2 linked regions of the Macaca mulatta genome follow. The protein of the gene in region 1 purifies or fractionates together with the protein of each later gene. This does not show direct contact. Links are inferred from orthologs where the notes say so. Each region holds a gene or a part of one and is shown on either strand. Other genes may lie near its edges.

Region 1 (3,500 bases):
TCTGGGAAACAGGTGAACTACCGAGGCCAGATGGTGAACCTGATCCGGATGCGGAACCCCTGGGGTGAGGTAGAGTGGACGGGAGCCTGGAGCGACAGGTGAGGGGCAGTGGGTACTGTCTGGGGTGCCTTGGGGAAACTGTTAGGTGCCCCGACATTTCTGCTCGGGGCTCTACCAGGCCAGGCTGGACTCAGGATTGAGCAGAGGGACCCATCTTCACGCAACTGGGTCTGGGGGACTGCCCTAACAAAGCTCAGGCCGTGCGGGCCTGTGCCCAGCCGTCGGGTGTTCGCAGGGCCTCTGACTGGCCCTGATGAGACCACTCGCTAGAACCGGAACTTTGGGGCTTGACCTTGAGGAGGCCACCTGGGTTGGGCTGGGGGAAGACAGGCCAGGGTAGACAGGCCCCAGGGGCAGAGGCCAGGCAGGTCAGTGCCACCAGCCCTGGCAGAGCCCCGCTCCTCACAGCTCCTCAGAGTGGAACAGCGTGGACCCATATGAACGGGAGCAGCTCCGGGTCAAGATGGAGGATGGGGAGTTCTGGTGAGCGCCCCCTCCCCTTCTCCCCCACCTCTCCACCCCTACACATCAGCTCTGTGCCCTGATGGGCTGTGCCTCACCTGTGCACCTCCTCCCTCAGGATGTCATTCCGAGACTTCATGCGGGAGTTCACCCGCCTGGAGATCTGCAACCTCACGCCCGACGCCCTTAAGAGCCGGACCATCCGCAAATGGAACACCACACTCTATGAAGGCACCTGGCGGCGGGGGAGCACCGCGGGGGGCTGCCGGAACTACCCAGGTGACCTGAGTCCGCGGACGCGGAGGTTGCACACAGGCGGGCTTTGGTTCTTGCTGCTTCCTGGCTTAGGGGCTCCAGAAGGCACGTCATCTCACTGAGCCTCTGTTTCCTCACTTGCAAGATACAGGCTGATCTCTTGAATTTGCTTTGAGGAGTAAAATATTAAATGTCTTCGCACATTTTAAAGAGGCAAGCTTGACTCACCGTCCTGGGGCCTGAGCCCAGTGTGCTCATGCGGGGAGAAGATCTTGTGGCCATCCAGCCACCTCCTTGTCACTCCTTTCTGGGCCCTTCCCTCCTGCCTTCTCTTTTTTTTTTTTTTTTTTTTCTGAGACAGAGTCTCACTCTGTGAGTACAGTGGCCTGACCTCGGCTCGCTACAACCTCCATCTCCCGGGTTCAAGCAATTCTCCTGCCGTAGCCTCCCGTGTAGCTGGGATTACAGGCACCTACCACACCCAGCTAATTTTTGTGTTTTTAGTAGAGGCGGGTTTCTCCATGTTGGCCAGGCTGGTCTCGAACTCCTGACCTCAGGTGATCCGACCACCTTGGCCTCCCAAAGTGCTGGGATTATAGGCGTGAGCCACTGTTCTAGGTCCCTTCTGTCTTCTCTTGCCATCTTTCCCTGGGCTTCTAGATCCATGTGGCTGACACGGGCCACAGCCTGGCCTCTCAGTTCCTTGTCACTCTCACCTGCAGCAGGCTTTTCCTGTACCTTAGCTCAGCCCCCACCATGAGGGCACCAGAGCTGCCTTGCCTTGCAAACACCCGCTCTCTGACCTCCACCTTTGACTCTTTCTACTCCCTTAGTCTTCAGCCCTTGGACCAAGCCAGCCCGTTGAACTCACCACTTGTATACCATCCTGCCTCTCCCGTCTTGCCTTTTCTCCTTACCTAGGTTAGAGCTATCATTTTAATCTTGTTCCTACAAACACCTTCTGTCCCCTGGCCCCTGTCTCCCATCATCTGGCACAATACCCATCCTAGTGGAACCCAGCTCTCCACCGGCTTGGGAACCATTGAGTATGGCAGGAGAGAAATCACATAACTGATGCCATATTTTCCCTGTAAATTCATAGCCACAAATCTCAAATAAGCATTTTCCATGATCCCCAGCAATTCCACTACTGGTTAGTAACGATTCCACTCTCACCTCCACCTCCCCCCATTGTTACTCTCACCTTCGGGCCTGGCCTTACACATCATTGAAATGATAGACGTCGTCCTGCAGGACACCTTGTGTTCCCACCTCCAAATCCCCCAGCCTTCTGCACCTGTGCCTGTGTCCTCACTGCCTCCCCACCTGCGACAGTGGCAGAACAGTCCCTGCTCATGGGGACCCCCACCTCTGCTCCGGATCCCATTCTCCCTGACCTCTGAAAGCATTTGCTCCTTCATCTGTCACCTCTCTCCAGCGTCATTATGGAAAATCCTCTGTCTTAACACAAAGCAGCCCTCTCGACCCCACTTCCCTGTTCATTTCTCTGCCCTCCTTCAAAGCACAATTTCTCAGGAATTACCATACTCCCTATTTCCTTTCTCACTTCTGCTTCATTGCTTAACCCTTCCCAGTCCAGCTTCATCCCTACCATGCTGCTAAAACCGCCCTTTCAAAGGTCACTTACAGCTTTGGCCTTGCCAGATCTGCTGCTGTGCTGTTCTCCTGTGCTTCATTCTCAGCACGGCTCCCTGCCCTCTGTTTTGAAGCATTCTTCTCCCTTGTAGGGATCCAATTTCAGTCTTTCCCGAAATAGATAACCACCGTTCCCTGTACCATTTACTGAGAAATACATCATCTCCTCACTCCCCAGCAGCACTAGCGCCCTCACCTAGTCCCCAGGTATATGTCGGTGTGTTTCTGGACTCACCATTCTGTCCCTGGATCTATCCCTCTGCCAATAACACATTGAATCCATTACTATAGATGTGTAAGTCCTGCTGTTGGACAGGCAAATTCCTTCTTCAACAGTCTCTTAGCTGTTTTTTTTTTTTTTGAGATGGCGTCTTGCTCTGTTGCCCAGGCTAGAGTGCAGTGGCGTGATCTTGGCTCACTGCAACCTCCACTTCCTGGGTTCAAGTGATTCTTCTGCCTCAGCCCCCTGAGTAGCTGTGATTACAGGTGCCTGCCACCACACCCAGCTAACGTTTGTATTTTTAGTAGAGACGGGGTTTCACTATGTTGGCCAGGCTGGTCTTGAACTCCTGACCTCAAATGATCCACCTGGCTTGGCCTCCCAGATTGCTGGGATTACAGGCGTGAGCCACTGCATCTGTCTTAGCTGTTCTTGGCCTTCGTTTTTCCAGATGAATTTTAGGATCAGTTTACCAAGTCCTACGAAAAACCATTTTGAGGTTTTAATTTGGAATTGCATGAAACCTATAGACCAATTTGGGGAGAATTGACATTTTTATAATTTTAAGTCTCATCCAAGGATGCGTTGTATCTCTTCATTTATTTTGGCCTTTAATGTCTTTCAATAGAATGTTGTATTTTTTTATCATAAAGAATTTATACATCTCTTGAGATTTAATGCTAGGTACACTATAATTTTGTTGCTATTATGAATAATATGTTCTCTTTTTTTTTTTTTTTTTTTTTTTTTGAGACAGAGTCTCACCCTGTTACCCAGGCTGGAATGCAATGGGGCAATCTCAGCTCACTGCAACCTCTGCTTCCTGGGTTCAAGTGATTCTCCTGCC
Region 2 (3,500 bases), on another chromosome or scaffold:
CTTTAGAATATAATTTCATGTCATTATTTTTACAATGTTTAAAAGTTAGAAAACATAATGTGCATGTGAAATTGTCATTACTCTGAAGCTCACTGCATTGGTTGGATGGGGCTGCTGTAAGAAAGTACCACAGATCAGGGGCATAAACAAGAGATTGATTGTCTCACAGTTCTGGAGGCTGGAAGTCTAGAATCAAGGTGTCAGCAGGGCTGGTTCCTGCTGAGGCTGTGAGGGAAAGGTATCTTTGAAGCCTATTCTTGGCTTATAGATGGCCGTCTTCTCCCCACGTCTCTTCACACCATCTTCCTTCTGTGCTTCTATGCATATCTCTGGGTCCAAATTTCCCCGTTTTGTAAGGACACGCATCATATTGGAGTAGGGCCCACCCTAATGACCTCACCTTTACTTGATTACTTCTATAAGGAACCTATCTCAAAATCAGGTCTCGTTTTGAGGTACTGGGGTTAAGACTTCAACATATAGATCTGGGGTGGGAGGCACAATTCAACCCACAATGGGCCATACATTTTGCCCATCTTAAGGATTAATTCTGCCTTCTCAACGTCATCAAATTAATATTTGTTTCAGAAAACGGAAGGGATCACAGGGCCTCCTCCAGACTCTTTGGTGAGTTTACATACATGTCTTCTGATCTAAATTAATATGTTTTATATTTTTGGTTGGGGGAACAGGGCTATCAATTCTATATTTGAGGATTATGATTTAACTCATCTCCAAATCAAATGGAGTTTCTGTGTGTTCAGAGAAAGGGCTTGGTGTGAGGGTTGTTTCAGTGCTCCTGAGTCCCATAAGTAGGGTTTCTGAGGGGAAGGAGAATGAAGGCAAGAAAGTATTAGGATAAACTGCATGTTCATAATAATAGAATGAGAATATTCTAACATGTAACTCCTTTAGAAACGGGGAAGTGGAAAATAATACTTAGTGAGTATTCACTAAACCTACTTAGTGAGTAGCCGCTCGCTTCAAAACATACAGTTTGATCTAAGTTGTTTTATTAACACATCTCATTTGGTTGCAAAGGAATTAGAAAAATGCATTCTTCATTTGCTAGCTTTATTATCCATTCTTCCACTTCAGCGGTTCCCATAAGTTACCCATCACTGTGCCTGTTTCTTTAGAAACCCATGGGGCCAGATGATGCTATAGATGCCTTGTCATCTGACTTCACCTGTGGGTCGCCTACAGCTGCTGGAAAGAAAACTGAAAAAGAGGTATTGTTTTTAGTGTTGTTAAGGGAAACTTGTTAGGAACTATTTTGAACTTTAAAAGAATAACTTTTTAGTTCAGGCTATTCCAGTTAAAGTTTCCTCATCCGTAAATCTCATCTTTAGTATTTTATTTTCAGGAATCTACAGAAGTTTTAAAAGCTCAATCAGCAGGGACAGTCAGAAGTGCTGCTCCACCCCAAGAGAAGAAAAGAAAGGTGGAGAAGGTATAATCACAGTCTACCTGACAGCAGTTGCTTTCCAGAGCCTGATCTAGCTCATTCAGGAAGCTGCCAGTAGCGCATTACCCATGAGGAGAAGCCATGATTTTTTCCCTCTCAGGTCTATCCGGAATAGGGAAGCCAATGAGGGTTATATTAATCATCTCCAGGCAAGCCTTGTGTGTTTCTGTAACTGCCTGGGAATTATTTTAGCACAGTTGTCTTGGTTGTCACCTAAGACCATCTCACCATTATGATACACAGAAGGGCAGAAACCAGAGAAATTGCACTCTTGGAACATAAAACCTTCAAGTTTGATTTTCTAAAGGACTTTGAGCACTGAGGATCACTAGAGGGACACCATGTCGCTGGTACTGCCCCCCACTCTCAGCTGTATTTCACTATGACATAATTCTCACAAATCGCAAAGGCAATCCTGCAGCTCTGTGCTGGCTGGGAACACATGTCTCCTCTGCAAACAGTCAAGATAATGCCCAGGAACAGTTTCTATCAGAGCTGCTTGTGCCTCTCCCCTCCTGGAGTGGACAGTTTATTTTTATCTGGCAGGCTGGGGAACAGTGGTGAGCACCACACCCCTGAGAGTGGGAGTTCCTCCAGCGATCAGCCATTGTGCCTTCAGAGAAGAAGTCAGCGGGGGCCACTTCAAGCTTCCCTGCTTTCAGCTTAGCAGGTTTGCTAAAGGTTATCAGAAGCCTTTTTAGAGACACAGTTTTAGAAAAAGAAAAACAGGGTGGTAACAGTTTACTACTTGCTTCTTTTTTGTGGTTGTTAAGAGTATTTTATAATAATATTACTATAGCTTTATGTCTAGCTTACCAAATAAGGGGTGAAGTGTGCCCCAGAGAACGCTGTTACTATAGAAACGTGTCTTAGCCCCAATTTCCACTCATTGGTAAGTTCTTTTTCCTTTCTCTCTTTTGCAAGGTTTCAAATAAACTTGCCTTTCTAGAGCACTTCCCCAATCCACATTCAGTTTATAATCTAAAATGTATTTCACAAAGAAGTAAATGGATTGTTCAGGCTCCAGAGATGTCTTTTCTCATGCACAGAATTTTTTACTTTTAACAGGATACAATGAGCGATCAAGCACTGGAGGCTCTGTCGGCTTCACTGGGCACCCGGCAAGCAGAACCTGAGCTCGACCTCAGCTCGATTAAGGAAGTCGATGAGGTACTGACCTTAGAGTTGATTTACAAAGCGTGTTAGTCTGCACATTACAAAACTGGATGCATTCTGCATGTTTAGAATTCTTGCACAACTTTTGCTGGAGAGTAAAAGTGAACATTCTTCATTGTGCCTTATTTATTGCTGAGTCGTTAGCAACTAAGAGGGATAGTTAAGTGATTGCTTGTGAAACAGCTAGAATTTTAACATTTGAAATGAGCATGAATCTTCCTTGCTAGAGCTTCAATGACACCTGACTAAACAAGGTAACAAGGAGGCAGTGCCTGGCGGGAAATAGTGAAGTTTGGCAATTGGAAATTTGTATTTTCAGAAGGGTTCTGGGTGCTTCTCTTTATAAGAGAGGGAGATGTCTATACAAGGAGTGGGAAGATCCTTCATTTATCACTGTGGGGAAAGATGTTGAAAATTTTGTCTCAAATTAAAATCAAGCAACGATTACTCCGTAACTAGAGCTCCTGCATATTTAGAGAATAATGCTGATAAGTGTTTATCCCACCACACTCCAAGATCTTAACAAGCCTCTGAACCAAAACAAGCTTATATCTGGTGTAGGAAAGTTTTAATATTAAATTATAATTTTTGTAGAATTTTTCAACTTGGTCCTTTTGGGGGAAAGAGGAAGGAAAAGAGAGAGTTGCCCGTTCCTGACAAGGCGGTGTTGTGGGGAGATGGAAAGGCAGCCTGGGATCCACAGGAGCTCACCCTGCCTCCATCAGCTCAGGCTGGGGGAGCTGGTAGGCACTGCTGTCACAATGCCCCATCTCTGCTGTCACTTCCTGTTCTGAGTCATCAGGGAAGGGGAGTCTCCCTGACTACCAGCAACTATCCTTGAGTCTAGGACTACCCT

What was found. Proteins that work in one complex are often made in the same cells at the same time.
Region 2: the proteins of CAPN1 (region 1) and CAST purify together in Homo sapiens (co-immunoprecipitation; 4 studies listed by BioGRID and IntAct, counting the BioPlex papers as one, with this or other methods). This does not show direct contact. The link is inferred for Macaca mulatta from reciprocal best matches to the Homo sapiens genes CAPN1 and CAST.

What each region holds. Positions count from the first base shown.
Region 1 is NC_133419.1:9,188,784-9,192,283, reverse strand, and holds part of CAPN1 (calpain-1 catalytic subunit), read left to right. Parts: intron 1-12; coding exon 13-98; intron 99-468; coding exon 469-543; intron 544-640; coding exon 641-801; intron 802-1,829; exon of another isoform or gene 1,830-1,959; intron 1,960-3,500. UniProt on the Homo sapiens protein: Calcium-regulated non-lysosomal thiol-protease which catalyzes limited proteolysis of substrates involved in cytoskeletal remodeling and signal transduction. Proteolytically cleaves CTBP1 at 'Asn-375', 'Gly-387' and 'His-409'.
Region 2 is NC_133411.1:103,090,121-103,093,620, forward strand, and holds part of CAST (calpastatin), read left to right. Parts: intron 1-588; coding exon 589-627; intron 628-1,139; coding exon 1,140-1,232; intron 1,233-1,366; coding exon 1,367-1,453; intron 1,454-2,536; coding exon 2,537-2,638; intron 2,639-3,500.